4 linked regions of the Notamacropus eugenii genome follow. Each later gene encodes a partner of the first gene's protein in a complex. Links are inferred from orthologs where the notes say so. Each region holds a gene or a part of one and is shown in the gene's direction. Other genes may lie near its edges.

Region 1 (7,983 bases):
GAGGGTTAAGAAGGAACCACACACCTAATGGATCCCAGAACATGGTTGGCATTATGGGTGTATGAAAATAGCAGTCAGGAAGACCTGGGTTCAGATCTCACTTCAGACAGTAGCTCTATGAGTTTGGGTAAATCACCCCAGATTTCTTATATCAGTTAGACTTGAAGTCCTCTGTGGTCCCCTTTGAGCTCAAAGCCTATGATCTGAAGTGAAGGTCCTTGACCAGCCAGCAGGATCAAGGACGGCTTCTTGAGGGAGGCCATCTGACTTGGCCTTAAAAGGTCAGAGTTCTCCTTGACCCTTCATCAGGCAAAGAAGTAGGCTGGGCTGGTGGTCAGCACAGGAACATACAGACAATAAGGAGGGTGTAGAGATGAGATCTTGCAGACCCAGTAGGACCATGTAGACTAAACTTATTCTTTTTCTAAGGAGGAAACAGCGGCCCAGAGAAGTCAAGTGACTTGTCCAAAGGCCCCAGCAAGAAATACGGTAATATCGATGCTCAGAACCCTTTAGGCCTCAAAAAAAGCTCCACTTTGTGAGCTCTGTGATCTCAGTCAAGTCACTTAACTTTTTTGGGTCTCAGTTTCCTCATCTGTAACATCATGGGGTTAGACTGGATGGAGTTCCTTCCTGCTATAAATTTCTGAGCCTATGACACAGATTGTCACCAACCACACAATCTGGGTCTTAGGGTTCCAAACGCAAGCTATGTTCACAATGTATTTTTCATTTATTTTTATTTCTAAATTCTCTTCTCTCACCCATTGAGAAGTATTTATACGTCACACAAAACATATGTCCACATGTCCTACTCATAACGTATTAATTATGCTACTGATGGTTGGCAGTATTGACCTTCACTAACCTCTTCCTCCAATGCCTAAATCTGGGCAGGGGGTAAAGTTGGCTAAGCTGCAATTATGATAGGGCACTGAGATTTTGTCATCTGGCTCTGAATTTAGCATTCCCACAGCACTTGCAGGGAGCCCATCAGTAAGTTACCACAGAATTTCATTAACAAAAAATGATTGAAACAAGATTCCAGATGGTAGGATGTCTCTAACCCTCCCTGCACTAAGGGCAGACTTCATGAAGCTGGTTCTAAGTAGTGCTTAGCTCTCATCAGTACATCCACTGGCCAATTCTGCCAAGCTGGGAAGTGTCAGACTTCATCGTTGGTGAAAGGAGCAGTCCCAGAAGGTTCTGAGTAGAGGTGGGATCTTGGGCCAATTTGGCCATAGGACCATGAATTTCCTTTCTTGGGTACCAGAAGAACAAATCTTCCAGCACTGGCCAACACAAGAAATACCTAACATGCAGTCATAATTTCTACCAACCCTCAGAGGAAGCTCTTAAGAGGGTTTATGTAAAAAATAAAGCAATGGTTATTAAGTTCATGCTGGGAATGTTTAAATGTTCATTGATCTGGGTATTCTCTTCAACAATACAGAAGGTAGCCTGTCCATCCCAGGCAACACATTTTGTCCAGATCCTCCCAAAAGTTCACCACAAGGGGTCCATCCAGCACAGTAAAAAACCTTCCAGTGGCCTAGCCATACCAGATCTAAAACTGTATTATAAAGCAGCAATCATTCAAACTACTTGGTACTGGCTAAGAAACAGTGGTGGATCAGTTGGAATAGGTTAGGTGCACAAGGCACAGTAGTGAATGACTAGTAATCTACTGTTTGTTAAACCCAAAGACTTCAGCTTCTGGGATAAGAATTCATTATTTGACAAAAAACTGCTGGGAAAACTGGAAAATAGTACAGAGAAACTAGGCATAAAACCAAGATCTTACACTGTATACCAAGAAAAGGTCAAAATCAATACATGATTTAGATAGAAAGGGTGACATCACAAGCAAATTACTAGAGTAAAGAATAGTTTACCTTTCAGATTTATGGAGAAGGGAAGAATTTATGACCAAATGAGATAGGAGAACATTATGAAATACAAAATGGATAATTTTGATTACATTAAATTAAAAAGGTTTTGCACAAAATCAATACAACCAAGATTAGAAGTGAAACAGAAAGCTGGGAAATGATTTTTATAGCCAGTGTCTCTGTTAAGATCTCATTTCTAAAATATGTAGATAACTGAGTCAAATTTATAAGAATACAAATCATTCCCCAATTGACAAATGGTCAAAGGATTTGCACAAATAGTTTTCAGATGAAGAAAATGTTCTAAACCACTATTGATTAGAGAAATGCAAATTAAAACAACTGAGATAACACCTCACAACTATCAGATTGGCTAATATGATGAAAAAGGAAAACATAATAAATGCTGGAGAAAATTGGAACACTAATGCATTGTTGATGGAGCTGTGAACCGATCTAACCATTCTGGAGAGCCATTCGGAACTATGCCCAAAGGACTAAAAAAAATGTGCATACCCTCTGATCCAGCAATATATCCCAAAGAGATCATTAAAAAGGGAAAAGGACCCACATGTACAAAAATATAACAGCTCTTTTTGTGGTGGCAAAGAACTGGAAATGGATGCCCATCTACTGGGAAATGGCTGAACAAGTTGTGGTATGTGAATGTAAAGGAATACTATTGTTCGGCAGATTTCAGAAAAACTCGGAGTTAGATAAACTGATGCTATATGAAGTGAAAAGAACTGGAACCTTGTACACTGTCACAGCAACGCTGTGCGATGACCAACTTTAATAGGCTTATTTTTTCTCAGCAATGCGATGAATCTAAGAGAACTCCAAAAGACTCATGATGGAAAATGTTATTATTCACATCCAGAGAAAGAACTATGGCATCTGAATGCATATCAAAATATAGGATTTTCTCTCTTTTTTGTGGTTTTTTCTCTTTTGTTCTGATTCCTTTTTCACAACATGACCAATGTGGAAATATGTTTAATATGATTGTACATGCATGACCTATATCAGATTGCATGCAGTCTTGTGGAGGGGGAAAGAGTGGGAGGGAGAAAAAGAACTCGAATTCTTCTAAGATTGAATGTTGAAAACTTTCTTTACATGTAACTGGAAGAAGTACAGTACTATTAAGTGGGTGGAAAAAAATGAAAACCTTCCATCCAGTGGAAGGTATCCCTCATATACCTGTCATCTGTCATGTAATTCTTTGATGTCCTTTACCACTGTTACTTGGGATCCCTTGTTGGTTAGATGTCACCTGCCTGCTTGTGCCTACCATGTGCTCTTCTGGTGCCCCTGATGTGATACTAATGTTTAGTTCTTCAAAGACAATGGGCTTTCAGGTCTTGTTGTGATACAGCAGCATTGGTCCAATGTTAAAAAGACTGACCCTTTGCTATTATGGGAACCAATCAGTTGGTAAAAGAACCTTGCAATTTCCCAAAAGCAATCTAATTTTCCTTTTTCTTTTCAAATCTGGATCTAGCTCATGGTGCATTTATTGTTTATCTCAGAAATACATCCTGTTGGTCAAGCCCTGTAGATTGCCAATCCAGATGTATGTCAAAATCTGAGCAATACCCTGTCTTCGCCTACTTGATCTTTCCTGGATGAGCGAACAGATCAAATTCTTCTAGATAGTTAAAAGATCTCTTCCAGGAGATTCTGCAAAGTCTTTGGTTCGATGCAATCAACATGTCACTCTCAAACAGGAATGTCAAAAGGACCTCACCATTCCAAAGGACTCTTTGTGGATCAACATCAGGAAGGCAAATATTTGAGGCAAGAACACATCTGCCTATTTTATGCCACACTGGGTGTTTCTGACCAGAGAGCCACTGAATAGGGTTATTTCTGTTGATGCATCTTAGAATCTTGAATGAGCTTAATGTAGAGATAGGATACACCTAGTTAAACAGTAGCCTGTAGGGGAGGTAGGGGGGTCCAGGAAGCTTTTACTCCAGTGGAATTCTAGTGGAATGCTTTTTTTAAATCAATGAACACAAGGGAAGTTTATAATCCCTTACCACTGTATTGCCTCCACAGCAGCTCTCCTTTCTCTCTCTATACATATGTGTGTCTATATATAAGAAAAGAATGTTTTATTCATTTTTGCAAATCTTTTCTCTTTTCCCTCTCTCTGTGGTCTTCTTTCCACTTTCATTTTTTAATTCCCTCAGTATGACTTTGCTCAGTTGGAAATCTTGCCAAGCTTTCTTTAGACTGGTTTTACCCTCCACTGCTATCTCTGTCTGCTTCATGAGACAATTCTGCTCATTCACCATCATCCTCTGTAAGATTTTACAAACGAGTTTATATTCTAGACATGTATTGCCTTCCCAAGGTATTTGTTTGGCAAATAAGTCCAGTGTTTTCTAAGATGTTTCTTGGCTCCCTCGGTCTCCTTGTTTCTAGCAATTAATTTACATTGGTTTAACTTCTGACTTGAAGTCAATAGACCCTGTAGGACATTCATGTTTCATTTTTTGATTTTTCACAAACTCAGGGTTTTAAATAATTCAGACTTTTCAACCACTCGAGGGTTAAATCTTAAGTATTTTTTCATCTCTATTCTCCCCTGTGGAGATCGAGCTGAGCCAGCAGGTGGGGGGCTGGCACTGCAGGGTACAGAGAGACTGGATGAGTGGTCTTGTTGAGGTCTGGGAACCATGAGGTTTGGGGTGCTGGGGACCCCAAAATACCAATACGCCAGGTCCCATCGAATGAATTTAACGCAAGACTTCTTCTAGCCAAAGTAAAACAAAGTTTATTAAAGGTTCACCGTATGGGTGACATCAGTATTGACAAGTGGGCCAGAGAGAATCTGAGCTACAAAGCTGGAGCCGGATTGAATCTGAGCGCCTTCATGGAGGCGAGATGGAACTTATGTACAGAAAGACCATGGGCAAGATCTGAGGAGGATCTTGATGAGACTGGGGTAACTAGGGAAGTAGTCAAGGGTGGCACCAGCTGGAGGCACGTGGGTGGCAAGTAATCAAGGATGGAGGAGGCGAGGTTAAGGGTAACGGATCAAGTGTGGCACCGGGATGGCTGCCGGGTCCAGGCGCCACGCTTCCCTCCATGCTCCCCGCTGCCAGCCCGCCTCTCTGTGCCCAGGCTGTATTCCGGGCTCCACGTGCTGGGCAGCAGAGCGGGCAGGGGCGTTCTCACACTGGCCACTACCCAGTAGCTGAGACAGGGAGGATTCACAGAGATGTAACTGAACCCGTTGGATCCGCAGGGCAAGCCCACAGGAGAAGGAGAGGGGATGGGGGCTGCCAGGGTGCAGAAGCAGGAGCCAAGGGGGTAAGGAGAACCTCGCACGCGCCCAACCTATCCCGAGCTGCGCATGCGTGCCCATCCCCCTTCCAGGCGCCATGCTTCAGCCACACAAAGGGTCCTTGCTCAGGCAGCCTGAGATTTGGCGCAGCCGCAGGCCCAGCCTGGCGCATGCGCCTCTCGGCCCGGATGCGTTGGGAGGGGGAAAGAAGAGAGGCGCCACGGCGAAAGCGCAGTGACGAGCGGGCGCCGGAAGCCTCGGGCCTGATTTCCCGTCGGGCGTTGGGCCAGAGGACCAGAGCACAACGGAAACGGCGCCTACTGGTTTCCGGCAACAGCCGCCGAGGGGCGGCCCGTAACCCGGAAGAGCTCGCATTCCGCGTCAGGGCCGGCGGTGACGGCGGCCGGGGTTCGGTGGGAGCGGAGCCGCCATGGGCTCCTCGAAGAAGCACCGCGGGGAGAAGGAGGCGGCGGCGGGGGCCGGAGCGGGGGCAGCAGGGAGCTCGGGCCCGGGCACAGCCGAGCAGGCGCCCCGGCATCGCGAGCATAAGAAGCACAAACATCGCAGCGGGGGCGGCGGCAGCGGGAGCGGCGGGGGCGGAGCCAGCGAGCGGCGCAAGCGCAGCCGGGAGCGCGGGGCCGAGAGGGGGAGCAGCCGCCGCGGGGGCGAGACCGAGGCCCGTAACGGGAGCGCGCACGGGCGCGAGCGCAGCCAGGCAGAGCCTGCGGAGCGGAGAGTGAAGCGAGAGAAGCGCGATGACGGCTACGAAGCTGGTGAGCGCGAGGCCCGAGGGGCGGGGCTTGAGGGAGGCGGGGCCAATGAACAGCCGGGGGCGGGGCCTTCCCTCCTGAGTGGGCCAGTAAGGGAGCGCAGCCGAGGTGGGGGTGGAGCTTGAGGGGCAGGGTCGGGAGTGTAAGCCCTGGGCCGGATCTTTCCCCACTCCCATTAAGTCTAGGATCTGCAGGGACCCGCGCAGACAGGTGGGGAAACTGAGGCACAGCTGTGGTTCGAGGTCGCGGATCCTGGGGCCGAGGGAGCGTAACTACCACTGACCTGCGCTAATGGGGGGGGGGGCTCCGTCGGTAAGGTGCCTCCTGGGTGCGGAGACTGCAACCAAGGCGGGCCCCGCGCTGGAGGAGCTTACAGTCTGGCAGGGGCGACGACATCACTGACTAGGGGAGGCTTCCGGGGGAAGTCGGGCTGGGGACAGCCAGAGAGAATGTCCAGAGCCCGGGGGGAGCCCCTGGACCTGGAGGGGAAGGGAGCTGCGGCCCAGGCCGTGGGTCGTGGGTGTGAGTTGCCCAAAGAAGGGAATTGCATTAGATGATGTTAAAGATCCCTTCCAGCTCTGAGTCTGGGGAGCCGCGTCATGTGACGCCAAATCTGGGTGTGTTTCTGCTGACTCTGTACCGTCAATGTTTGTCCTGGGCCCTGGCTGAGACACGGCTCCTGCCCTCATAGAGCTCAAGTTCATTAGGGGATGAAACCCAAAACTTTGATGATCCTGTGAATGCAGCAAGCATGAAGGTCAGAGGGGAAAGGTTATCAACAACCAGGAGAGTGTTCTTAGAGAAATAAGACGTTCAAGTCTGATTTTAAAGGAGGAGCAGGAATTCAGGAAGGGAAAGTATTGGGAATCACCAAGGCCTGAAGGTGGGGAGCCTGGAAATGTACAGGGATGATGAGTAGTTCACTTCAGCTGGAGAACAGGGTGTGGGTAAGACAAGATGCAAAAGTGGACCATTCCCAGCTGGATGAGGGCCTCATATACCAAGGAAATAACTTCACCCTTGACTCCATGTTCTACCAGGAGCTATTGGAGGGTTTAGACTCAAGCAGTAATACCTTGCTCTTACTTACCTTAGATTTACAAAATGTTTTCCTCCACAACTCAGGTAGAGAGAATTAGCACCATTTTACATGTGAAGAAGTCAGAGCTCAGGAAGATTAGAGTGGTTTGCCAGAGGCCAGAGTGGGGTTAGGGCTGGGAGAGCTGAAAGTGAAATGGGCTACTGCAGTGGGCTTCCTGCTTAGTTATAGACTGGACTGGAGGTCCCTTCCAGATGTGAGATACTTTGATTCTAAGTGGTCTGCCAAACTCTCTATCTATAAAACAGAAATCTGTTTTATGCTTCTCAAGCAGGGCTTGAGATTGGCAGATTTGGAGGGATAATGAAACATTTGTAGCCCCTGACTCTTAACTTGTCCTCTCCCAACCAATACAAGGAAGTGCCTTCCCAGGACTTCAGGGAAGGTATGATAATTCCTGCAGAGGAAAAGCTGGCTTGTGGAGCTAAAGAAGTTTTTCCCAGCAAGGGTTGGCCAGGGAAGTAAACACAGTCTTCTTGTCTACACCAGGTGTTGTCTGGGGCTTAGAACTCCTGAGTTCTGGGCTTCCAGATGTTAATTCTTTGAACTGTGGTCAGGATGCCCTCAAAGCAGCACAGAGGGAGCCTGACCCTTGTCTTTCTCGTTCTAGCCACTGGCTCCAAGGCCAGCTCTGGAGATGCCTCATCTCTCAGCATTGAGGAGACCAAGTGAGTGATGGGAAGGCTTAGTTCCCCAATGCCCTCTGACCTCTTCCAGCATAGTGTTCTGCTAATGGACCTAAGGAGGCCTTGTTACCGATCCTTCCAAATGAGTGCTGAGTAGCATCTCTCCCCAGTTCCTTCTCTTTAGTCCATCCAGAATTTAGTTGCCCCATGTTTCCTGAGAGCCTCATAACCGTAGCTATCTCTTTTGTTCTCAGTAAACTCCGAGCCAAGTTGGGCCTCAAACCTTTGGAGATCAGTG
Region 2 (7,872 bases), on another chromosome or scaffold:
CAAGCCATCTGAGGGAGAGGGGGGAGAAAATAAGAAAACTTATGGAAGTGATTGTTGAAAATTTAAAACAAATAAATAAATTTGGAGGGAAAAAAATGAACTAAGGGTATACTTCAAAGGATTTGAGAATATGAGAATCCTAAACCATAAATCTATTTTTCTGCATTATGCCACTTTGGGAAAGACCTTTTAATAAAAAAAAATGAATACGAAATATGTATATAGAAAAAGAAAAAAAGAAAATTGCTAAATGAAATCACATGAGTCTTTCTGGGTAGTATTCCTCTATCACCACCATCCCTCCACATACCTTCTCAAATTGAACTTTTGCTGTACAAACACCTAAGTTAATGACTAAAGTCTATCTATGGATACCAGTTCAGCCCTAGGGAATAGTCATCCAAAAAGCCTGATGTGTTCTTAATCTGGAAATGTGGCAGTGCACCAACTTGACTTCAGTATCAAACCTTATGTTCTAAGCTAGCTGAATTTTCTTGTAATGTCTACCTGTCTTGCTGGCTGGGCCAAATCTGTGTGTTAACTCTATTAGTGGCACTAGTGCCTTAACGTTGGTGTTTGGCAAAGCCGAAGTTCATTATGCTGGCTAAGATTCATTACCATCAAAGCTTCCAACTGCCCCGAGGCTTATCCTCAGAAAAGAACTTGGAGGCTGAGTAGAGATGGGTTGGGGGGAGGGTTGGACTCCACAAGTAATTTCATTAGTATACAAAGCTCCCAATGAGGAAACCAAAAGAGGGTAGAGAGGTTCAGAATCTTGGCTCCTAGGTTCTGAGAAACCTGGCTTCCTGGTCTGTTCAGGCACCAGAAAAGTCTGTTTTTGAAGAAAAGTCTTCAAAAGCTCTGTTCTTTCTGGCCCCAAATCCATCATTCTCCTCCACAAAGTGCGTTTGGACTCACGATTCCTACAAGTCCAGAAGCTTTCCTCTGCCCTCTGCCCAAAGTTTGTGAGCCACTCCTGGTTCTTCAATCTGATGCTTGTGGCTCTCCTGTGAACTCCCAAACTGTAGTCTCTGGTCCACCTAAGTTCTCTGGCTTTCCTCAGGACCCATGGAGTCTGCAACCTTTCTTTATACCCAATACGCACAGTCAGCAACAGGTAGATCAGGTGCATCCCCAGTAGGGCTCATAATGAAAGCCCTTAATGTAACTGAGGTATCAAGGATGATGACACATCATAGGCCCAGGTTACACTCCTTGTGCATTTTTTTAAAAGTTAAAAAATTATGATGTTGAAAGCAAGCTATAGTTTTTAGGAGGAAATGAAAGCCAGTTCATAAAACATTTTAATAATAGCTATAATTAATATAACTTAATATAAATAAATATAATTTTAATAATAGATGTTCAAACTTTTTTGTTGCTCAGTCTTGTTTAGTTTTGTTGTCATTTTCAGTTGTGTCCAACTCTTCATGACCCATTTAGGGTTTTGGTTTTTTTTTAAAGAGCTTAATAGATGTTTATTGACTTGATAACTACTAGAAGACTCAGAAATATACTTTCTTTCATGTAGTACAGCACTCACATAACAATGTACATCAAAGGTTAACCAGTGGCAATGATATTGAGCACAGCTGAAAGGAACTTGGTTCAAATGCAAATTAGATCATCAAGGGCAAAGTTCAAATACTCTCAAATGTAATCCAAACTGAACCTATGTATAAATCAGGCAGGCTTTACTGATTTGAAATAAATCAAGGTCTTTATCTGACCAGAATCCCCAGCCTTTTAAAATCCAAGACCTACAATTTTTCAGCTCCAGAGGGGGCTGCCTGTTTAAAAAATAAACAAATATATTTTTATTTTTTATTATTATTTTATTTGTTTTCAGTGTTCTACAATCACTTCCAATGTATCTTAGATTTTTTCCCCTCCCTCCTCCCTTACCCTCTACCACCCCTCTCCCTCCCTGAGATGGCATACAGTTTTATATAGGTTCTACACATACATTCCTATTAAATACATTTTCACCTTACTCATGTTGCATAGAAGAATTAAAATGAATGGGAGGAATCATAAAACAAACCAAAACGTAATACAAAAGAAAATGATCTGCTACATTCTGCAATCGAATTCCATAGTTCTTTCTCTGGATGTGGAAGGCATTTTGCCTTAAGAGACCACTGGGAATTTTTTAAATCCTTGCATTGCAATGAAGTACTAAGTCTACCAGAAAAAATCCTCATAGACTGTGGTTGTTGCTGTGTACAGAGTTCTCCTGGTTCTGCTCCTTTCACTCAGCATCAGATCATATAAGTCTTTCCAGGCCTCTCTGAAGTCTTCCTGTTCATCATTTCTTATAGCGCAATAGTATTCCATTACATTCATATGCCACAATTTATTCAGCCATTCCCCAATTGACGGGCCTCCCCTTGATTTCCAGTTTTTGGCCACCACAAAGAGGGCTGCTATAAATATTTTTGTACATGTGGGACCCTTTCCCATTTTTATGATCTCTTGGGGATACTGGAGTGGTTTGCATTTTCCTTCTCCAGCTCATTTTACAGATGAAGAAACTGAGTAAAAGGGTTAAATAACTTGCCCAGAGTCAAGCGAGTATCTGAGGCTGCATTTGCACTCAAGTCTTTCTGATTCCAAGCCCTGCCCTCTATTCCCTGCAATATCTAGCAGCCCATTTAACTTTTAAAATACATTTTTAAAAAACCCATTCATATTCACTATCATATGCAAGATGAAGTGGTTAAAAGTTCACAATGTATGGCTTGCCTTGCTTGCTCCCTAATATAAAAAGACTGAGTTTAATTGAAATTTAAACATGCATAGTTCCATATGAAAATGCTTATTTTGATATGAAGTGACCTTCAAATCAAGGTTCTTCTAAGTAATGATGTGTACACATCTACACTAAAAACTCAATCTTCAACGTTCCTCTCCCAAATGAAATAGGTTTCTAGACAGAATACTTTAGACTAAGATAACACATCCTAAAATACCCACTCCATAAAATAACAGACGTGACCACACTCACCTCCAGATCCTTCCGGATACTCTCGAATTCCTCAATGTCATCTAGCTTCAACTCCAGGCGAGTGGGTTTTCGTCGGAGCATCCTGGTAACAGTTCAACACGTCCAAGCCAAATCCACCAAACTGTCAAAATTTAGGGAGAAGGAAGAGGCTCTACAAGAAGCATACTCTGGTGGGGATGGATTTTCTGCAAGCAAACAACGATACCCTAAACGTACACACAACCTCCTGAGCTGTCAGGAAGCCTCAATGACTCTGATTTCACAGCCATTCAAAAATAGCTGCCTGTGAAACACATAGAAACCAAAAGATGTACAATCCACTTTAATCCAGTAGTACTTCAGCCACATTCAGAGAAATGTACAAGTTTATACAGACAGTTAAAAATAACTTTCCTTAATTCAAAATGAATTACCATTTACAAAATGGATAGTGACAATCACTTTAATACCCTTTGCCTGGGTTTTTAGGGATTTGTGACCACTGGCAAAAGTCAAGTTAAGATTTCATTTTCAAATGAATCACACAGTGGTTGACTTCCTAATTCTAAGGAAAAGTCTCTTTGATTCATAACTATATAATGACTTGATGCAAACTTTTTCAAGGAACAAAAAACAGAAATAAACAATTGCGCAGATTTATGCTAAAATGTTTACAGAGGATTACGCTTTGTAACCATTAAAATGATTACAGAGGAAATCAATAATGCTAGGGTCATTTTTTTTAGCACCATTTAATGATCTGAATTTTAATAAACCTTTTTTTTTTTGGCTTTTCATAGACTTAAAAAGTTTTACTGGTGTTTTTCATGTTGTTATTTCTGAATATCCTTTTCCCCTCCCCTGTAACAGATTCCTATTTAGCAGTGTTAACCTCCCCAACTATTAGCATTGATTTAACATCCCTCTCTTCGGTAATGAAGAACAATGGACCGGAGTCCCTCAATGAGTATGCATGCCAGCATATGCTTTCCCACCGTATTTTAGGATTCTGGGCATACCCACCACACTCTCCAGACCCACTTCAATCCTGGAACCAAGATGAACGGCAGGGGATCTGAGATGGACGGAGCACTAGGTTCAGCGCATCAACCGAATATAAATACAGTAGGCAATTTCTGAGTGGTTCTTATTCCCCATCATCTATATCTAGGTATTTCCCCTACCTCCTTAACGTGGGGTGGGGAAGGGGAGGGGATGGAGGATGCCACCCTGCCTTGAACCTGGTCTACTCCGTGGCCCTTAGTTTCGCCATCTGTAAAACGAGAGTTGACCCATTTCCCCTCTAAGGTCAGTGGAATCAGACTGTGAAGGGAGAGGGAGGTTGTGGTTGAGGCTGGAGCCGTCGTTTCCATGACTACAGAGAGGCAGGCCAGCGGACCGAGCAGCAGGGAAGCCGAAGCCTGCCCGCCGGCGGCCAGCTCCTTCCTCCCGGCTCACGTCCCCTTCCCTTTCCGCCCGCCTCGCCCCAGGAACTAGGTCCTCAGCTCGAAGCAGCCCTCATGGCCCAACACCCACCTCCCCCCAGCGCGGCGCGGCTCAGCTCAGCTTGGTTTAGCCCAGTCCCGGGGCGAAACCGACTTCTCGGACCCCTACCGCCTCCAGCCTGTTCCACTCCGCCTTTCCAGCCACCTACCAATCTTCTGTAGGCTTGACCGCAAGGACTGCATCTCCCGACATGCCGCGTGGCCCCTTCCTTATCCGTCGCTGCTGACTACCTCTCCCAGAGTGCTCCGCGCTTCATTCCCTCAGGTTGCAACAGAAGCCCCTAGACGAAGACTACAATCCCCGGCCTGCTCCGCGCCTCCCCGGGCTTCCGGACTCCGTTTAGTTCCGGTTATGTTCTATTTCCGACACGTTTCGAAATTTCCGGTCCCCTGAGCGTGGAGTGAGTCCTCCGGCGGTGGGGGTCAGCGGCCGTGGTGGTCTGCGATTGAAATTCTTACCACAACATGGCTTCTTCTCGAGCTTCGGCTACGGTGCGGCTCTGGCCTTGGTGTTTAGGGATCCTTGGGAGTTCTCCCCACGTGTAGGGGAGCCGGAATTGGCTTCTGCCCTTCCACTGAACCCGCGCTCAGGGAGATGATGGGTGGGTTGGTGCAGAGGCAGGGGGATGGACTCGCCGAGTTCCTGACTCCTGACTCTGCCGCCCCTCCGAAGGGAACTGGCCTCCCCTCCCACCCCGACGGAACTGGGGCCACAGCTGGGGTTTGAAGTCAACGCGGCGGCGGGGGGGGGGGGGGGGGGGGGGAGGGGGGGAGTTGGAGTTCTAAAAGAGACAGTGTGGTAATAAAAAGTTGCCCTGGACTCAAGGTGGGAGATCGGACTTCCCAGCTCTACACGAATTTGGTTAAGCCTGTTAATTCCTGGCCCCAGTTTCCTTCTGTAAAGAGAGAAATCTAGATGAGATGCTAACTTAGACTTTTTCAGCATCGTGTTCTGTCATTGGGTTTTAGTCCTAGCTTTGTCCAGATCCCAGACAGATCGCTGAACCCTAGTTTGTCATCTCCAAAAGGAGAGTTACAAGGAAGCAGTTGTTAGTTCAGGATTGGGGAGGGACTTAACAAAGTTGTGGAAAAGGCTTCTGTGACAGATGGTGACTTCACCTTCACTTGGAAGTGTTTGAGCACAATTTGAATGACTGCTGGTCAGGGATGTTACAGAGGAGATTTCCTGTATCTGCAAAAGGGATGGACTAGATGATGTAGACTCTAAAACTCCAAAATTGTATTTAAAAAGGTGATAATCCCTGATCTTTTCCCTTCGTAGGATTTTTGGGAAGATGAAATAAGATTATGCATGTATAAATGCATTGAAATCTAGAAAGTTCTATAGAGATTGTAGTGTACTTCAGAGTTGAAAAAACATAGACCCCAATTTAGAATTTTCTTTGGTTTAACCAGAGGTAAATTTTCTCATTATGTTTCCCTTTAAATTCACTGCTTAAATTTATTTCAGGTCCTTTATTATCTAAATGACTCTAAAAGGACATTGAATGGATAGCAAGCTCAGTATGCTATTGATAACGTAAATGAACACTCATTTCTCCAAGATAGATTGCACCTGTCCCCAGAGGTCTTACATCTTAATAAGCAGTATCAAAGTAACCTATTGATTGGGAAATCACTCAGAAAAAGATGGAGTTCATTAGTTTCATCCCACACGTTTCTTGTCCCGAACATGCTCTCATGTGAGGGATGCACTAAAACAATTACTACCTTATCTGAGTGGGGAAAGTTCCAACTGGTGCTGTGCTTATTTCTGCAGATCCAGGAATAGCATTTGGTTTCAGAATTAACACTTCAGGCAGTTCCGAAGGTTGCTCCAACTCTAGGTTAACTCTACTTTTTGATTTTATAGGCAACCAAAACCCCCAGTAGGACTCCTGAAGACACTGCCTCCCCTGTGGTGAAGAAGCCTCATATCTATTATGGCAGTTTGGAAGAGAAGGAGAAGGAACGTATTGCAAGAGGGGAGTCAGGGATGTTGGGGAAAGAAGGAATTAAAGCTGGAATTGAGGCTGGAAATATTAATATAACTTCTGGTAAGACTAGTTTTGGACTAATCTTTTGTGTTGCCTGTTCTGCCTGGTCTTAAGTACGGGTTTTCTAGGTTTGAATATTTTCTCCTTTTACTTTGGGCCTTGATTAAAATAAGTTTTGCATTATCAACTATAGTCTCTCCTTGAACTTCTCTTTATGGAAGCGTGATTTATAAATGGTATCTCTGAGACTAAGTTTTACTTTGCCTGCCTCATATCCATGGGCCTTTACATTCTTGGGGATTAATAGTCTAATTTGTATTACATTAGTCTGTCATATGGTTGTAAATTCTACTAGATTTTAAATTCCTTGAAGGTACTAAACCAATCCTTACAATGTGTCAGGTACTGTGCCACACACTAAACATGTGAGTGCAAAGAATGTAGCATTCCCTACAGTTAGGCAACAAATACAAGCCTTAATGGCTGTATGTTTGTATATATACACATATACGTATACATGTATTTATATATTTCATAAATTTAAAGTGAATAAATACAAATATATACAAAGAAGTTAAAAACAAACTTGCTGAACAGATTGTTTTGGCCTTGTATTTACCATAGTGCCTAATGTAGTATGCACTTAAAAGTAGTCATTCTTCTCATCTTGTGTCTTCTCAGACACCTTTTTCTTCCCCACATCTTTTTGGTAGGACTGTTCCTATGAATTATGAGTATTTGTACTAGAAAGTCACTCAGAGTAAGTTCATAGAATCATATTCTGCTTCTTCAAAGAACAAGTTTAACATGGTCCTGATATTACTGTTTTGAGCCATTGTGGTCATGTTTATTTCTTTTGCTTTTTTTCTTTTCCAAAGTTTTTATTTGATCGTTTCCCTATACTACATCTGAACAGCTAAGCCACTGCAGCTTAGCCAAGACTCCCTAGTATTGATTCTAGTTTTAAAAACAGTTTTTTTTTAACCTGATCCTGTCTGTAAACTTGTTTTTTGCTTTTTTAAAAGTTAAAACTTTTAAAATGCACTAAGAGTTTTGGGACAATCCTTTATTTTGTTGTTCAGTCATTTCAGTTGTATCTGAGTCTTCATGACCCCATTTGGGGTTTTTTTGGGCAAAGACACTTCCTTCCCCAACTCATTTTACAATTCAGGTAACTGAGACAAACAGGGTTAAGTGACTTGCCCAAGGTCACACAGCTAATAAGTATCTGGGGCTGGGTTTGAACTCAGGTCTTCCTGACTCTAGGCCCAGCATCTATCTGCTTAGCCACCTAGCTGCCCCAGTCTGTGTCTAGATCACTGTAGTTTGTTGTAGTTGATTTCTGTTGTATATTTCATTTTGTGTATTTAAAAACCTTCTGATA
Region 3 (7,767 bases), on another chromosome or scaffold:
CGGGAAGAAAGTAAGGGGCAATGATGCTGAAAATATATGTTGGTTGAAGCCTGATTGTGCAGGGTTTTAAAAACTAAACAGTTTATATTTGATCCTAGAGGAAATATCAAACCACTGGAGCTGATTAAGAGAGTCACATGGTCAGATGTGTGCTTAAGGACTGAATCAGTGAGAAATTTGAGACAGTGACACTAATAACAATAGCTAGCCTTTACATAGCATTTAAGGTTTGCAGAGCCATTTTGTAGACAATATGTGCAAATATGTTATTTCATTTGATCCTCTCAAACAACAACCCTTGAAGTAGGTGCTATAATTATCCCCATTTTACAGACGGGGGGAAGTGGACTGAGGTTTAAATGACTTGCTACTAAGTGTCTGAGGCTAGATTTGAACTCTAGCCAATCAATCAATCAATGAACAAATCTTCATGACTCCAGGTGCAGCACTCTATCTACTGTGCCATGTAGCAGCTTTGGTAAAGGAGGATAAGGACCAAGAGAAGGCTATTAGATTTGGCAATTAAGAGGTCATACTTTGTAAAGAGTATTTTCAATTGAGTGATGAAGTCAGAAGCAGTGTGTAAAGCACTGAGGAGAAAAAAGTCAAACAAGGATTTCTTGTGTTTACTTTTTGCCAGTCACTGAGCTAAGCCCTGGGAATATATTGAAAGGCAAACGTCAGTCTCTGCCCTCAGGAGCTCAAAATCTAATAGGGGAGAGAAAAAAAAAATTATGTACCACCAAACTATATACAGGATAACTAGGAAATAGTTAACAGAGAGAAGGCTAGAATTAAGAGGGGCAGGAAAACACTTCCTCTAGAACAGGGCTTCTTAAACTTTTTCTACTTGTGACCCCTTTTCAGTTTTGGCAGCAGGGTGTGTTGGCATTGCATAGTTGGAGGGCATGCACAGTACAAAGTGCGCATGCTTTGTGTTCGGAAACAAGGTTGGATGCAATATGGGCAAGCACTCCCAGAAACACCTCTAATTCATTACGAGTTTGATTTTGAATTAATTTTTGGTCATTGTGCATTTAGAAACCTTTTACTGCTGCCAAGTTTTTCACAACCCCATATGGGGTCATGACCCACAGTTTAAGAAGCACTGCATTTGAAAAAAATATTTTAGCTGAGATTTGAAGCTAGGGAAACCTGTAGGCAGAGAGATGGATGCCAGGCATGAGGGGATAGCCAGAGAAGACATCCAGAGCTGAGAGATGGAGTAACTTGTTCATACAATAGCAAGGAGCCCAGTGTCACTAGACTGAAGAATATGTAGTGGGGAGTAAGGTGTAAGAAGACTGGAAAGGTAGGAGAAGGCACATATAACAAGCTTTGAATAATAAACAGAGAATTTTGTATTTGATCTTGGAGGTAATAAGGAATCACTGGAGTTTATTAAGTAGGGAGTGGGACCTGAGCTTTAGGAAAATCACTTTGGTGGCTGAATGGAAGATGGATAGGAGTGGGGAGAAACTTGAGGCAGAAGAATCAAGTATAAGACAAGTTTTTCAAGGAGTTTGGCTTAGAAAGGGAGGAGAGATAGGGTCTAAGGAAAGTTTTTATAGGTAGAGGATCCTTGGGAGTTTTTGAAAACAGTAGGGAAAGAAACAGGTAAATACTGAGAAATGGAAGGTTACAGAAAGAGAGGAGATACAATATGCTGGAGAAAATGGGGTCAAATATACATCCAGTTCTGCTATAATGTGACACATGCATTTTTTAAAAATCACCATAATATGCAAAGTCATGCAACAAAACCCACAAGACTTATGGGGGAACTGAGATTAGAAATAAAACACTCAAAAACTTTATCAGTGACATAAAAACATTTATAAAAATAGAAAAGTTTGATATATTTAAAAATAATTAAGAAACACAAATACTATGATAAATAGTGTGTGTGACCTTGGGCTGCTGTTCAGTCTGCACCTTGGTTCCCACTGGACACAGGCTGGCAAAGTCAATGGCTATGGCCCAAGAGAATGGCTTGAAAGGATGAAATTTCAGATATGAGGGGTCAGCAGAAGATGGAGGGGAGTAGGGATAGAGTTTAGATCAGTCCCTACTGCACCAAAAGCGTACAATAAATACGACACTTTGCCTTGAAAAAGACCTGGTTTGCTAGAGGAAGTGAGCATCAGAAAGGTTTTTGTTTGTGTATTATTGTGAAGTGGTATAGTTTTCTGCATTCTGTTTCTCATGGATAAAATTGCATATAAGTAAAATTGAAAGCTCAAATTTTTCCCTAATATATCAATTATATTTTAACAAATTTGAATTTTCAAAACAAAGGTTGCAACAGAACTGACCGTACACAAAAATGATTGACCTTGGCAAGAAGGACCATTTCTTTGTCAGAGTTATGGGGGGATACAAGAAAGGATGGAAAACGGTATCATAGTGTTTTAAGATGAAGAGAATATGAGAAGAGGGCTCTCATATCAAATCACCTCCTTATTCTTAGTAGAGGCAAGGTCCTTAACTCAGAAAGGATGAGGACCGCCTTGCTGAAATGAGGACCTAGTTTAGATTGGATAATCTAAATTGGTAACATACCCAGAAAGCACAGTTTTGGCTTCCTGGTGACCAAGAGCAGAGGAGGCAGAAAGTGGAAGTAATCCAGGGCTGTGGTTTGGCAAAAGAAGAGGAATATGACAAGGAGACCAGGGAAAGAGAGAAAGAGAGAGAGACTAGAATTGATTATCATACGTAACTCAAATTCCAATCAAGCTGTGTTAGAAAAGAGCACCTTTTTGTTACATGCTTCCTGTAGAATGTGATTCTGGACTGGTAGAGGGAATGCTAATGCAATCCCCCATGATTTTTTTGAGGGGCAGATTTGTTTTGACAGTTTTGGAGAGGAGTAACAGTCTTCATCCTTTTAGGGAAAACAAGTGGGGTTCCAAACACTCTTTGAGACCAATATCAGACAGGAAAAAGAAAAAAGATGTTGGAAGCAGCAAAGATGTAGGAGAAGCTGACTTTTCAACATGTCCCTGATTTCCAAATTGTATCTTTACAGACTTCAGGGCATTTCCTGTGGAGTGAGATCAGAGCCTCTCACTTGATGAAACTAAGATATCATCTCATCCAAAGAGGTCATTTACTCTTGTGCCTTTTCTGGAATATTCTAATCTGTGTAATATATGCAATTTCCATTTCCTATTTGCTTGGATCAGTAGGTTTACTCATTATTTGCTATTTGCGATAGTCTTTCATGTAGCTCTAGCATTTGGTGGGAAGGAATCAAGTCAAGAGGTTTGCGCCTGGGGTGCCTTTCCTCTTTTACAGGGGAAACACCAGGAAAGCTAGCACTTCAGTAGTTTTTGTTAGAGACACTCTTGACACTAATAAGATATCAAGTAAAATTTATTGCAGCAGAGTTCAGAGGAATTGATCATTCTGGCCAAAGCAGGCCCCCTCCCTCTTTTCAGGAAGAGAGAATGCTGAATACAGAAGGGAGATGAGCTATACAATTTTAGTTCAAGACAGATCCTCCCACCAGGAGATGGATTGGTCAGTCCTCCATTAGGTCACCATCTTCTCTACATGCCCATTGTGTAACCTCCCTTAGTATGACCTCCCCTCCCAAACATGCTCTATAGGACCCATGATCAGAAATTGGAGGGATAATTTTATGTGGGGTGTGTCTGCTTATATGCATGAAGTTCATTAAGCAAGTACATTGAAGAAAAGGCTTCTCCAGGTAACTCTAGGTGATTTTTCTTGGTTAGTTCCAGCTAGCTGTAGATTTGGTTCCATTGTCAAAAACTTTGTAATTTTCTGAAGGCCACTGTTGGTCTTTTCATTGGCTGAGTCCACCTGCAGTCCGCTGGCCTTCTTATTATCTAACTTATTCTCAATGACTTCATCAATTAACAATAACTTATTGTGAAAACTTAACTTTCGCTGTCTCATACTTTGGAGCCTAAAAAATAGGGCTCCAGACCAATAATATTTAGTGGGACATATAGATAAATTCTATTGCAGTATCTCTCAGTCAGTCAATATGCATTTATTAATTGCCTCTGTCTCAGGGAAGAACAATGCAGCCAACTTCCTGGCCCCTTCTCTTGCTCTCCTCTAAGAGAAAGGAATGGTCTCTCTTGAAGAGGCATATATGCAAGATCCCAGAGCTATCCATGGTCCTGTCTCTCCTTATCTATACATTGAGACATCCCCCGTCAATATATGTGATAGATCTTAAGATACATAGCATGCTTCTTCAGTATAGAACTGTGGATCATCTGCATACATAACTGAAATGTGAAATGAGGTTACCAAGAGATCATATGAGAGCAAAACGGGGGTTGTAAGCCTCTTGTACACAGGGTCCCCGGATCCTGGTAAGAACTGTGGCTCCAGGCCCCTCTAATGCACCTACCCACGTGATACACAACCAAACTCAGCATCTCTGTTGTTATTTCAATGGCCTCCAAACAGGAGACGCCGGCAAACCTCCAGTGCCGCCGCCCACAGCCGCAGGCACATGCCAGGGGCTTCATTTTAAGGGGTGGTCGTGTGCACTGCACACAGTGGTCTGGTAATAAATGTTTTATGAGTTTATTTTAAGGTTTGAGAAAGCATATGTGTGAGGGTGGGACGGAGGAAAAAACCAAGATGGCAGTAGCGGTTCGGACCATCACAAAGGAAATGGGAGACACGTGTACAGCGTTTGGCTGTCCTAGCTCCTGGGTCCCCGTGGCCACTGGCCCACCGGGCCTCCGTAGCTCCGCCCCTTCCCGCAGACGCCAGGCCCAGCCCGACCTCGGCCTAGGGGGCGGAGCCCGGCGTTCAGGCTCCAGCACGTCTGCGCCGCTGCCGGACCGACTCAGCGACCTCGGGAGCCCCGCCGGCCGGCTTCCGCTTCCGTGTCAGGATCATGGCCGTGGCAAATTCAAGCCCCGTCAACCCCATCGTCTTCTTCGACGTTAGCATCGGTGGCCAGGTGGGACGGGCATGGATCCAGGCAGTGCAGGATGACTGGGGAAAGGGCTGAAGGCGACTGCTGCCCGCTGCTCCGGGAGCACGGGGGGAGCAGTGGAACCCCGCGAACCACATGGCGAAGGGGGTGAAGTCTGAAAAGTGGGCGGGATCCATGTGTCCGGAAGATGGGGGGGAATGGGCGGGACCATGGGCTGGACCAAAAGACTCTAGGATGGGGGGAGAGCGGGCGGGACCAAACGGCTCGGAAATGGGGGGTAGCGAGCGGGACAAGGAACAAAGAGAAGGGTCAGAATCCAGGATGGGTCAGACTGACCGGGACCTAGACCCTGGAGCCTGGGCAGAATGCATTGGCAGAACCAAATATGGAGGTGGGGGGACCATGGGACGGGGAATAACGGGAGGGACATGATGAGATGACGTCACCGACACGCCCTGGCACTGCCCCGCCCTGCAGGAAGTTGGCCGAATGAAGATTGAACTCTTTGCGGACATCGTGCCCAAGACCGCGGAGAATTTCAGGTCCGGGAATTGCCCCCCCACCCCCGTCCCCGAGGGCGTGGGGAGGTGGGGGAGGGAAGGAGACTTAGCCCACGTGTCTGTGCCAGCGTCCGTCCGTCCGTCTGTAGCATCTTTCTTCCCTACAGTCTGATTTGTTTTGCCCGTATCCTACTTTAGAGCATAAGCCCAGTAGTGGGGTTTCTGGGTCAAAGGGTAACAGCCTTTCTTGCATAATTCCAAATAAGTTGGGTCAACTCACGGTTTTATTCCATCCTTATATTTTTCCATATTTGCCCATTGTTATCCGTCTCTCTTTTGTCTTCCTCTGCATTCTTTTGATCCTTAGTAATTTGGGGCAGTTTTTCAGATGATGTGTTGATGACATATATCTTTGAAAACTGGCACATAGTAAGCATTTAATCAGTGCTATCTTTCCATCTACTTATTTTTATCCCATGATCGCAAGTCTCTTGGAGTCATAGGTATGTGACTTCATAATCTTAGAGATTTCCCTTAAGATTATGATTCCAGAGTCTTGATGACTTAATATTAGGAGGTTTGCAGTAATTCTCTATAGATTTTGGATGTTAGATTCTCATAAGATAGGTTTAATGAAAATATTTTTCTCATTCATATCTTTTCCTTTTTTTCTAGTTGCATTATTTTTGTTTTATAGTTGAAATTGTATGTTTTATTTTATATAAATATAAAAAAATATAGTATTTTAATATAATTTTATATTTGTCTTATATAAAATAAAAATAAAATATATATAGTTTTATATTTTTAATTTTATAGTTGAAATTGTATGTCTTGTTTTATTGCAGCTGGTTGATTAAAGATTGATTCTTTAATCCACATTGTGGAAGATGACCTTCCATGGCCCTCTAATTTCTTTTTTGGGGCAACATTTTATATTTAGATTGTTTTTTAGAATCATGTTTTTGACTTGAAAGAAACTTCTGGGACCATATGTTCCCACCCCCTCATTTTGCAGATGTGCCTTATCTCCACGGAGGTTTTGTGCCTTTGGTAATAAGTGTCTGAGACAGAATTTGAACACAGGTCTTCTGACTTGAGAACCAATGATCTTTCCTACCAGACTGCTATCCTGTTTTCTCAGTGTTTCCTATCAAATAAAGAGTCCAGTAATTTGTGTACCTTGGGCTTGTCAAACATTGGATGCTGTGCTGATCTGATTCTAGGTTTTGCTAGCTAAGATTATTCATCATTCTAATTTTTTATATTTTTTAGCACCACGTAGTTTTGATGGTTACACTGCTTTGTGTAACATAACTTGAGACCACTTTATACCAAACACCCTTCACTCCTACTTCTTTCCATTTTCCTCGAAGGTGGTGTTTTTTGTTTTGTTTTGTTCTTGAGGTGGGGGAGATCATCTGTCTGCTTGTCTGCCTGTCTTACTGTTCCCAGTATCTGGGGGTAGGGAGGGAAGAGCAGAATCCCTATTGTTGTGTACCTGTCTCTAATGTTTGTGATTATTTTGTTTCTGTCATCTCTGTGTATATGGTGGCCTGTAAACAGTGTCAGGTTGTACGTGCGCGCGTGCACACACACACAGACGCACACACACTTCCCTGTATGTGTATGAGCATGTGGGAACCTCTGTTTACAGATGGCTGGGGTATCTCCCTTACCCAACCCCTAGGTCAAGGTTTCTCTTTTCTATCATTTCTCAGTATGTATGGTTTGGCAGATAATATTTTTCTTTCTTTCAGGCAGTTCTGCACAGGAGAATTCAGGTTAGTCTAGAAATTGCTTATTTCCCTTAGGCATGGCTTGGGTGGGAGCCACCTGCCCAAAGCTGGAGTCAGTACCCTTGGGAAGCTTCCATCAAGGCCTAGGGAAGCTGCTGGGATCAGGGATGCAGGCGCACTTCTTCTCTGTCACTCTTCTCTTTTAGTCAATCACCCTATCTTCCTACTTCTCCAGAGGCAATTTGGGGAGGGGTCTTTCTCCACCTCAGGGGTGCTTTACAGAGGGGCCTGGGATTGCCTGTGGTCCCTCCATTTCTCATCTTTCTCCTTGGTTGTAGGAAAGATGGAGTCCCTATCGGATACAAGGGAAGCACTTTTCACAGGTAAGGTTTGGGGCTTCCAGGGACACCTTCCTGTGTGTCATGAGTCACTTTCTCCTTTCTGATATCTTTGTCTGTCCTGTTTTTAGGGTTATAAAAGATTTCATGATCCAAGGAGGAGACTTTGTAAATGTAGGTACTGTGTAAGTTTGTCTTGTTCCAGCTTTGCCAGAGTTTTGCTTTACCCCCTCTGATTCACTATCTGATTTACTAGAGAA
Region 4 (7,277 bases), on another chromosome or scaffold:
AACCAGTTTTTCTCTCTCTGGGAGCACTTCAGGATTCACCTTTAATCTGGAAATTGGGGGGGGCAGAGCCAAGATGGCAGAGTAGAAAGGTGCACATACACTATCTCTTCCCCCACAGCCCATAAAATATCTGTAAAGAAAGACTCTCAACAAATTCTAGAGCAGGAGAAGCCACAGAACAACAGAGGGGAGGAAATTTCCAGCCCAGGGTGACGTGAAAGGCCAACAGGAAAGGTCTGTCGCACTAAATACGGAGTGGAGCCCAGCTTAGCCTTGGCTGCGTGATGGGAGGAAGACCCAAGCAGGCCTCAGGGGCAGAATCCCCAGTGGCAGTAGTGGCAGTTTGTAGATCCCTCAACCCACAGGCAACAAAGGTCAGTGAGAGGGTTTTTTCAGCTGGCTGAGAAGGGAGCAGGGTCTTCCCATAGCTCTGGCCTCAGGTGTCAGCGGCAGAGGCCACATCAGTGGCACCAGCTTCCACAGCAACCTGCATCCATTGTTGAATTGTAAAGCCCCTGGGGGAACTGAAAAGTTGATCCGTACCTCAGCCCTGTATGGCAGCCCTGCCCCCACCTAAAGCCCCAGGGGAATTGAGCAGCTTATCTGAATCTTAGCCCCCAGTGCTGGCTTGGTAGAACTGGAGGCCAGGTGGTTGTGGAGAGAAAACTGAACTACTCACAGATTCTGGGCAAAAAAGTCTCTTGTTGCTCCCAGACCAGTGCACACACTTGATTGTGCCACCTTGGAGGAACTGAGATCTTACAGATCTCCAGAGTATAGCCTATCTTGACAAAGGACCCAAAAGTCAAGTAACTGGTTGGGAAAATGCCCAAAAAAGGGGAAAAAAATAAGACTATAGAAGGTTACTTTCTTGCTGAACAGATATCTTCTCCTATCTTTTCAGATGAGGAAGAACAATGCTTACCATCAGGGAAAGAAATAAAAGTCAAGGCTTCTGCATCCCAAACATCCAAAATAAATATGCAATGGGCTCAGGCCATGGAAGAGCTCAAAAAGGATTTTGAAAATCAAGTAAGAGAGGTAGAGGAAAAATTGGGAAGAGAATTGAGAGAGATGCAAGAAAAGCATGAAAAGCAAGTCAACAACTTGTGAAAGGAAACCCAAAAAAATGCTGAAGAAAATAGCACCTTTAAAAATAGGCTAACTCAATTGGCAAAAGAGGTTCAACAAGTCAATGAGGAGAAGAATGCTTTAAAAAGCAGAATTAGCCAAATGGAAAAGGAGGTTCAAAAGCTCACTGAAGAAAATAGTTCTTTCAAAATTAGAATGGAACAGATGGAGGCTAATGACTTTATGAGAAACCAAGAAATCACAAAACAAAACCAAAAGAAAGAGAAAATGGAAGATAATGTGAAATATCTCATTGGAAAAACAACTGACCTGGAAAATAGATCCAGAAGAGACAATTTAAAAATTATGGGACTACCTGAAAGCCTTGATCAAAAAAGAGCCTAGACATCATCTCTCATGAAATTATCAAGGAAAACTGCTCTGATATTCTAGAACCAGAGGACAAAATAAATATTGAAAGAATCCACCAATCACCTCCTGAAAGAGATCCAAAAAGAGAAACTCCTAGGAACATTGTAGCCAAATTCCAGAGTTTCCTGGTCAAGGAGAAAATATTGCAAGCAGCTAGAAAGAAATAATTCAAATATTGTGGAAATACAATCAGGATAACACAAGATCTAGCAGCTTCTACATTAAGAGATCAAAGGGCATGGCACAGGATATTCCAGAAGTCAAAGGAACGAGGACCAAAACCAAGAATCACCTACTCAGCAAAACTGAGTATAATACTTCAGGGGAAAAATTGGTCTTTCAATGAAATAGAGGACTTTCAGGCATTCTTGATGAAAAGATCAGAGCTAAAAAGAAAATCTGACTTTCAGACACAAGAATCAAGAGAAGCATGAAAAGGTAAATAGGAAGGAGAAATCATAAGGGACTTACTAAAGTTGAATTGTTTACTTTCCTACACGGAAAGACAATATTTGTAACTCTTGAAATTTTTTTCAGTATCTGGGTAGTTGGTGGGATTAGACACACACACACACACACACACACACAAACGCACAGAGAGAGAGAGAGAGAGAGAGAGAGAGAGAGAGAGAGACAGAAAGCACAGGGTGAGTTGAATAGGAAGGGATCAAATCTAAAAAAATAAAATTAAGGGGTGAGAGAGGAATATAATGGGAGGAGAAAGGGAGAAATGGAATGGGGCAAATTATTTCTCATAGAAGAGGCAAGAGAAAAACTTTTCAATGGAGGGAAAAAGGGGGGAGGTGAGAGGGAAAACATGAAGTTTACTCTCATCACATTTGACTAAGGAAGGAATAAAATGCACACTCATTTTGGTATGAAAACCTATCTTACAACACAGGAAAGTGGGGGAGAAGGGGATAAGCACAGCAGGGGAGATAATGGAAAGGAGGGCAATGGGAGGAGGGATCAATTAGAAGTCAACACTCTTGGGGAGGGACAAGGTCAAAAGAGAGACTAGAATAAATGGGGGGCAGGATAGGATGGAGGGAAATATAGTTAGTCTTCTCCCAATATAGTATGAATACTAATTCAAAACAAAACAAAAACCCAAACCTTTTCTTTGTCCTTAGCTTTTTAGCCTCAGCTCTTTCTGAGTTTTTGCATTCCTAACCATATAGGATATCCCAAAAAGTCTTAGTGTAGTTTTAAGTTTAAATATTAAATTAAAATTAAACCTTTAATTATTATTTTATAATTAGTGGTTTAATAATTGAACCACTAAATTATTAAATTAAATTAAAATTTATTATTATTAAATTAAATTCAAGCTCAAAACTGCATTGTCTTTTGGGATACTCCGTATTATTTTTAGGACCACATTGCTTTATATTCATCCTCCATTACCTGTCCTGTTTCGGTTTTCTTTCTCTACATATCTTTTTCCTTTTTATGAGGAGTTTCTCTTTGTTTTTGAGTAACTCCCATTCCCCCGGGCTGACTATTTCTATAGCATTTTAGTCCATGGGATTCTATCTATCTTTCTTGTGAATCCTTTGAACCTGATTTCTCAAACACCTAAAGTGCAAGTCAGATTGATGTATTTCCTCTCCTCTATCACAAACTGTAGGAAAAAGTGGTAACTTTCCCCCAGGGATCTCATTATTTTTACTCTAGCAAACAATTCCTTGTGGTTAGTGAGAATCAAATTCAAAATAGAATTTCTCCCCGTTGGTTTCTTTACCTTTAGAAGGAAGAAATTACCACTAAGCAAAAACAAGCGATCTTTAGCTGCTCTGCTTTTGTCATCGAGAGACAGAGAGACAGAGAAAGACAGAGAGAGACAGACAGAGAGAGAAAGAGAGGGAGGGAGGGAGGGAGGGAAGGAAGGAGGGAGGGAGAGAGAGAGAGAAAGTTCTAACCAGTGGAACTGTCCAACCATGTCACCCATGCACTCAATGAACAACAGTGTCTCATCCCACTTCCCTCATGAAATATAAAATCCTTGGTTTGGCATTCAAAGCTGTTCAAAACACAGACCTCCCCATCTACCTTCCAGTCTTCTTACTTAGTTCTTACACTTAACACCCTCCGACTCCCACATCACTTTGACCCAACGACACCGATCTTTTTGCTCTCCTACAAAGAAGATGCTCAGTTTTTCAGCTGGGCATTTTCTCTGGCTGTCTCTGTGCGCTGGAATGCTCTACCTCCTCTTCTCTCTATCTTTTGGCTTCCCGGCTTCCTTCCAGTTACAACCAAAACCACACCTTTCACAGGAAGCCTTTCCTATAATTACCTCCTATTCATTCTGTATATAGCTTGTATGTATTTGCATGTTGTCTTCCCCATCAGACTTCGAGCTCTTTGAGGGTAGGGACTGTCTTTTGCTTTTTGCTTTATCCTTTGCACCTAGCACAGTGCTGGGCACACAGTAGGCACTTAGTAAATGGTTATTGATTAACTGGATGTCTGGATAAGTGAAGTCCCCTGTCGCGGTCCTCATCCCTTCCCTACGCCAGTCTCCTGATTTGTTTCCCACACTCCTCACCCAGCTCTTCTTTCTACATGTCAGTGACAGTCATTCGCGTCTTGCTCCGCTGACCTACCCCCAAACGTTCTCCTCTGTAAAATGAGGGTGATACTTTCATTATGGGCCTCACTGTTGGACCACGGTTGCTGAGAAGATCACTAAGACGCTGGAGGTAGCGCTCTGATCGATCCGGGGTCTCGCTCCTCGCTTGCGCCCCCTCGGATTCTCAGAGGTCACCTCTCTCTTTCCGGCTGGCAGGGCCTTCCCCCTGAGGTTGCTTCCTTTTACACTGCACCTAAGGCGTGTGTAGAGGCATCTGACCGCTGACTTGCCCTGTAGAAATGGAGCTCCTGAAGGACTGCTGATCTACCGTCCCAGTCCTTGGCGCAGGGTCACAAAGTAGGCGCTTGTTCATTCAGCGGGGGACGTGATTGATATGGGGGGGAAGTGCTCTGCAAACCTTACAGCGTTAATGAAAGGTAAGCTCCTAGAGGATTTGATCCATCATTCTGTCCCTTTGGATAGATAGGAACCGGCGCAACCACGCTAGCTCAGATAAGGCTGGAGATGGAGCTGCAGAGCGATCCGCCCGGGTCTAAGCACGCGCGCGCGCGCCCTACAGGGAGCGCGTTCCCCCAACTGGGCCGGGGGCGCGCACGCTCTGCGCTCTTACGCACATACGTGTGACGCGTTAGGGGCGGAGAAGACGTCGGGCCAGCGGTTCCACCGGCGGTTCCCGGAGCTGGATCTTCTCTCTTTGCCGGCAGGTTTGTGCGTCACCTCCTTTCGTCAGGACCCGGCCCCGCTGCGGCTGTGAGCCCTTTTCTTCTCTCGCTTCGCCTCGCTCTCCGAGGCTCGGCTCCGGTGTAGCCCTCTGGGCACGCGCGGCCTCGGTTTGGCGGCCCGGACGGGAGCGTGTTGTCCGCCGCCGGCCCCTGAGGTCTCGCGTGGCCGAGGTCGGTGACGGATGCCGCCGCAGCCCTTGTCCTTAGCGCCGGGGTGCACGGCCGCGGCCCCCCTTAGACAGCAGGGCAGACTCAGAAAAGCTGCAGTGGGAGCGACCTCCCCCGTGGTGTGAATGAATTAGCGACCCCCCGGAGGTCAGTCCGAGGCTGCCAAGGCCTTGAGTGCAGAGAAGTAAAACGACTTGTGCAGGACCCCGCGGACACGGAGGGGCGCGGGCCAGAGTGGGACTCGCAGCCCCTCGTTTTCCCTTGCTTTCCCCGTTACTGTACGCTGCTGCCACCCATCATTGAGCTCCTTAATTCGATTCTTAAACGTTTATGTTTTCCCTTGAATTAAGGAAATGAGGAAAGTGGATGACCTGGTATTAAAAGCCAGCGTCTTCCATGAAGACCCAAAATGTTGAGTTGGTTTGCCTTTTAGTCTTCTGTAGGGGCTTCTTAGACTGTGGGCCTCGAGTGGAAGGAGGAGGAGGAGGGTCTTCCTTGGCGTGTGGAGGAGTATAGCTTGTAGCGGTAGAGTTGTAGGCGCGGTTGGGACGGTGAGGGGCCTTGGGGAGTGTTTCGATTCTCCCTAGTCTGTGTTGAAGTGTTAATCGTCTGCCGTTGCCAGGATTATTTCTTAATGTTAGAAGCAATGGGATGCACGATAAGAAAGCATGCTTTCTGATAAGTGAATTCTCCTCCACAGGACTCAGACTGACTGTTCAGGATGTCGTACATGCTTCCACATTTGCACAATGGTTGGCAGGTGGATCAAGCGATTCTTTCAGAAGAGGACCGAGTTGTTGTTATTAGGTTTGGACATGATTGGGACCCTACTTGTATGAAAATGGATGAAGTTTTATATAGTATTGCAGAAAAGGTAAACCTTATTTGAGTAGTACTTTTAATGCCATGATCCCTCATGTTTGTTTGTTTACAAAGCCCTTTGATGTCCTTTTTCTCCTTTGATCCTCCTAACAGCCCATGAAATAGGCAGAACAAGTATTATCTTCATATTACAGATGAAAAAATGGAGACCCAGAGAGGTAAAGTGACTATAAAGGGTCATATGGCTATATGGGGATGGAGGCAGGACTTGAACCTAGAACTCCTAATTCTCTGTTCTCTTTCCATTCTTGCACACTGCTATGACTTGTAATTGAAATCATTAATTAGGTTATACTCTTTTTTGCCTTGAACTGAGGAAATGAATTATGTATATGATTTAGGATTAAAAGCCACATTTCATATTTTCATCCAAAATTTTGAATTGATTTGCTTCTTAGTATACCAATACATAAGGTTAGATACTTAAGGTATTTTTCAAGATTTTTCAAGATTTACTTACCCCATCATTCAAGATTGAAATGAATCAGAATGATAATAAATGGTAAATAAAAAAGCATCTGTAGCACAGGCTTCCTGCACAGAGAATAATCAGTGAGTGTTTTTGATTCATGCTTTCTTGATTTAAGGGTCTTACTGCCTTCTGCTTTTTGCTACTTTCAGCATTAGCCTATTTTTGTGACTGTTAACAGCTACAGTTGTGAAAATTAGTTAATTTGACTTAGAAGAAAACATTAGCCTAAAATAGCCAGTCTAAATTTTCAGTGGATATTCCAGGAGTGTTATGCCTTATTTTTAGAGGCGAAATTCTCCTTCAGTATCCTAGAAGCTCTACTCTATATATGCTTAAATTTGGTTTTTAGTACCTATATTTTAAATTTTCTGAGACATGTGTTAAATGCACCTACATAGAGCATGCTATAATCTTGAAATTAGTGTCTTTAATATTGTTTTGTGCTCTTTGGTATTCATGTATGAGCTAATTGATATTTTCCTCTGAATTGATATTTTCCTCCATTTGAAAATAAAACCTTAGACTTGTGTTGTCTAAACCAGAGTACTGTTTCTCAGTGTTCTGTTTTGCCGACAGCAATAATATTAATCTGGGATATCACTGTGTTGTTGGGTGGTAAACTTTTGGCACAGATTTCTGGAGGCTGTGGTAGGAATAATCATTTAGTGTCAAGAAGTTGTGTTTGCAGATGTTGTTATAATGATGATGATAAATTATTGAGATGAAATTGACTAATGTCATATCTCACTTTTGTAAACATGGTTTTTCTTTCAAGTCTTCCATAGTGTTAATAAGAAACACTAACACAAATATATATAACTGTAAATAGATGTAGATATATATACGTATATATATCTCCATACATACATGCATGCATATATATGTGTGTATTTGTTTGTGTATATATGTATATATATATATGCAGGGTGGCTGC

Evidence for each region.
Region 2: SART1 (region 1) and PRPF4 share a complex: the UniProt entries of both Homo sapiens proteins name them as parts of the U4/U6-U5 tri-snRNP complex. The link is inferred for Notamacropus eugenii from reciprocal best matches to the Homo sapiens genes SART1 and PRPF4.
Region 3: SART1 (region 1) and PPIH share a complex: the UniProt entries of both Homo sapiens proteins name them as parts of the U4/U6-U5 tri-snRNP complex. The link is inferred for Notamacropus eugenii from reciprocal best matches to the Homo sapiens genes SART1 and PPIH.
Region 4: SART1 (region 1) and TXNL4A share a complex: the UniProt entries of both Homo sapiens proteins name them as parts of the U4/U6-U5 tri-snRNP complex. The link is inferred for Notamacropus eugenii from reciprocal best matches to the Homo sapiens genes SART1 and TXNL4A.

Annotation. Positions count from the first base shown.
Region 1 is NC_092873.1:18,651,221-18,659,203, forward strand, and holds the start of SART1 (U4/U6.U5 tri-snRNP-associated protein 1), read left to right. Parts: upstream 1-4,978; 5' UTR 4,979-5,620; coding exon 5,621-5,963; intron 5,964-7,669; coding exon 7,670-7,727; intron 7,728-7,939; coding exon 7,940-7,983. UniProt on the Homo sapiens protein: Plays a role in mRNA splicing as a component of the U4/U6-U5 tri-snRNP, one of the building blocks of the spliceosome. May also bind to DNA.
Region 2 is NC_092872.1:478,475,131-478,483,002, reverse strand, and holds the start of PRPF4 (U4/U6 small nuclear ribonucleoprotein Prp4), read left to right. Parts: upstream 1-4,857; 5' UTR 4,858-4,956; coding exon 4,957-4,983; intron 4,984-6,364; coding exon 6,365-6,548; intron 6,549-7,872. Other genes in the region: anaphase-promoting complex subunit CDC26, read right to left, coding at 3,008-3,088. UniProt on the Homo sapiens protein: Plays a role in pre-mRNA splicing as component of the U4/U6-U5 tri-snRNP complex that is involved in spliceosome assembly, and as component of the precatalytic spliceosome (spliceosome B complex).
Region 3 is NC_092876.1:74,540,777-74,548,543, reverse strand, and holds the start of PPIH (peptidyl-prolyl cis-trans isomerase H), read left to right. Parts: upstream 1-4,760; 5' UTR 4,761-4,888; coding exon 4,889-4,954; intron 4,955-5,407; coding exon 5,408-5,472; intron 5,473-7,190; coding exon 7,191-7,214; intron 7,215-7,507; coding exon 7,508-7,552; intron 7,553-7,638; coding exon 7,639-7,681; intron 7,682-7,767. UniProt on the Homo sapiens protein: PPIase that catalyzes the cis-trans isomerization of proline imidic peptide bonds in oligopeptides and may therefore assist protein folding. Participates in pre-mRNA splicing.
Region 4 is NC_092875.1:200,531,213-200,538,489, forward strand, and holds the start of TXNL4A (thioredoxin-like protein 4A), read left to right. Parts: upstream 1-4,277; 5' UTR 4,278-4,515; intron 4,516-4,660; exon of another isoform or gene 4,661-5,136; intron 5,137-5,689; 5' UTR 5,690-5,710; coding exon 5,711-5,863; intron 5,864-5,964; exon of another isoform or gene 5,965-6,005; coding exon of another isoform or gene 6,006-6,029; intron 6,030-7,277. UniProt on the Homo sapiens protein: Plays a role in pre-mRNA splicing as component of the U5 snRNP and U4/U6-U5 tri-snRNP complexes that are involved in spliceosome assembly, and as component of the precatalytic spliceosome (spliceosome B complex).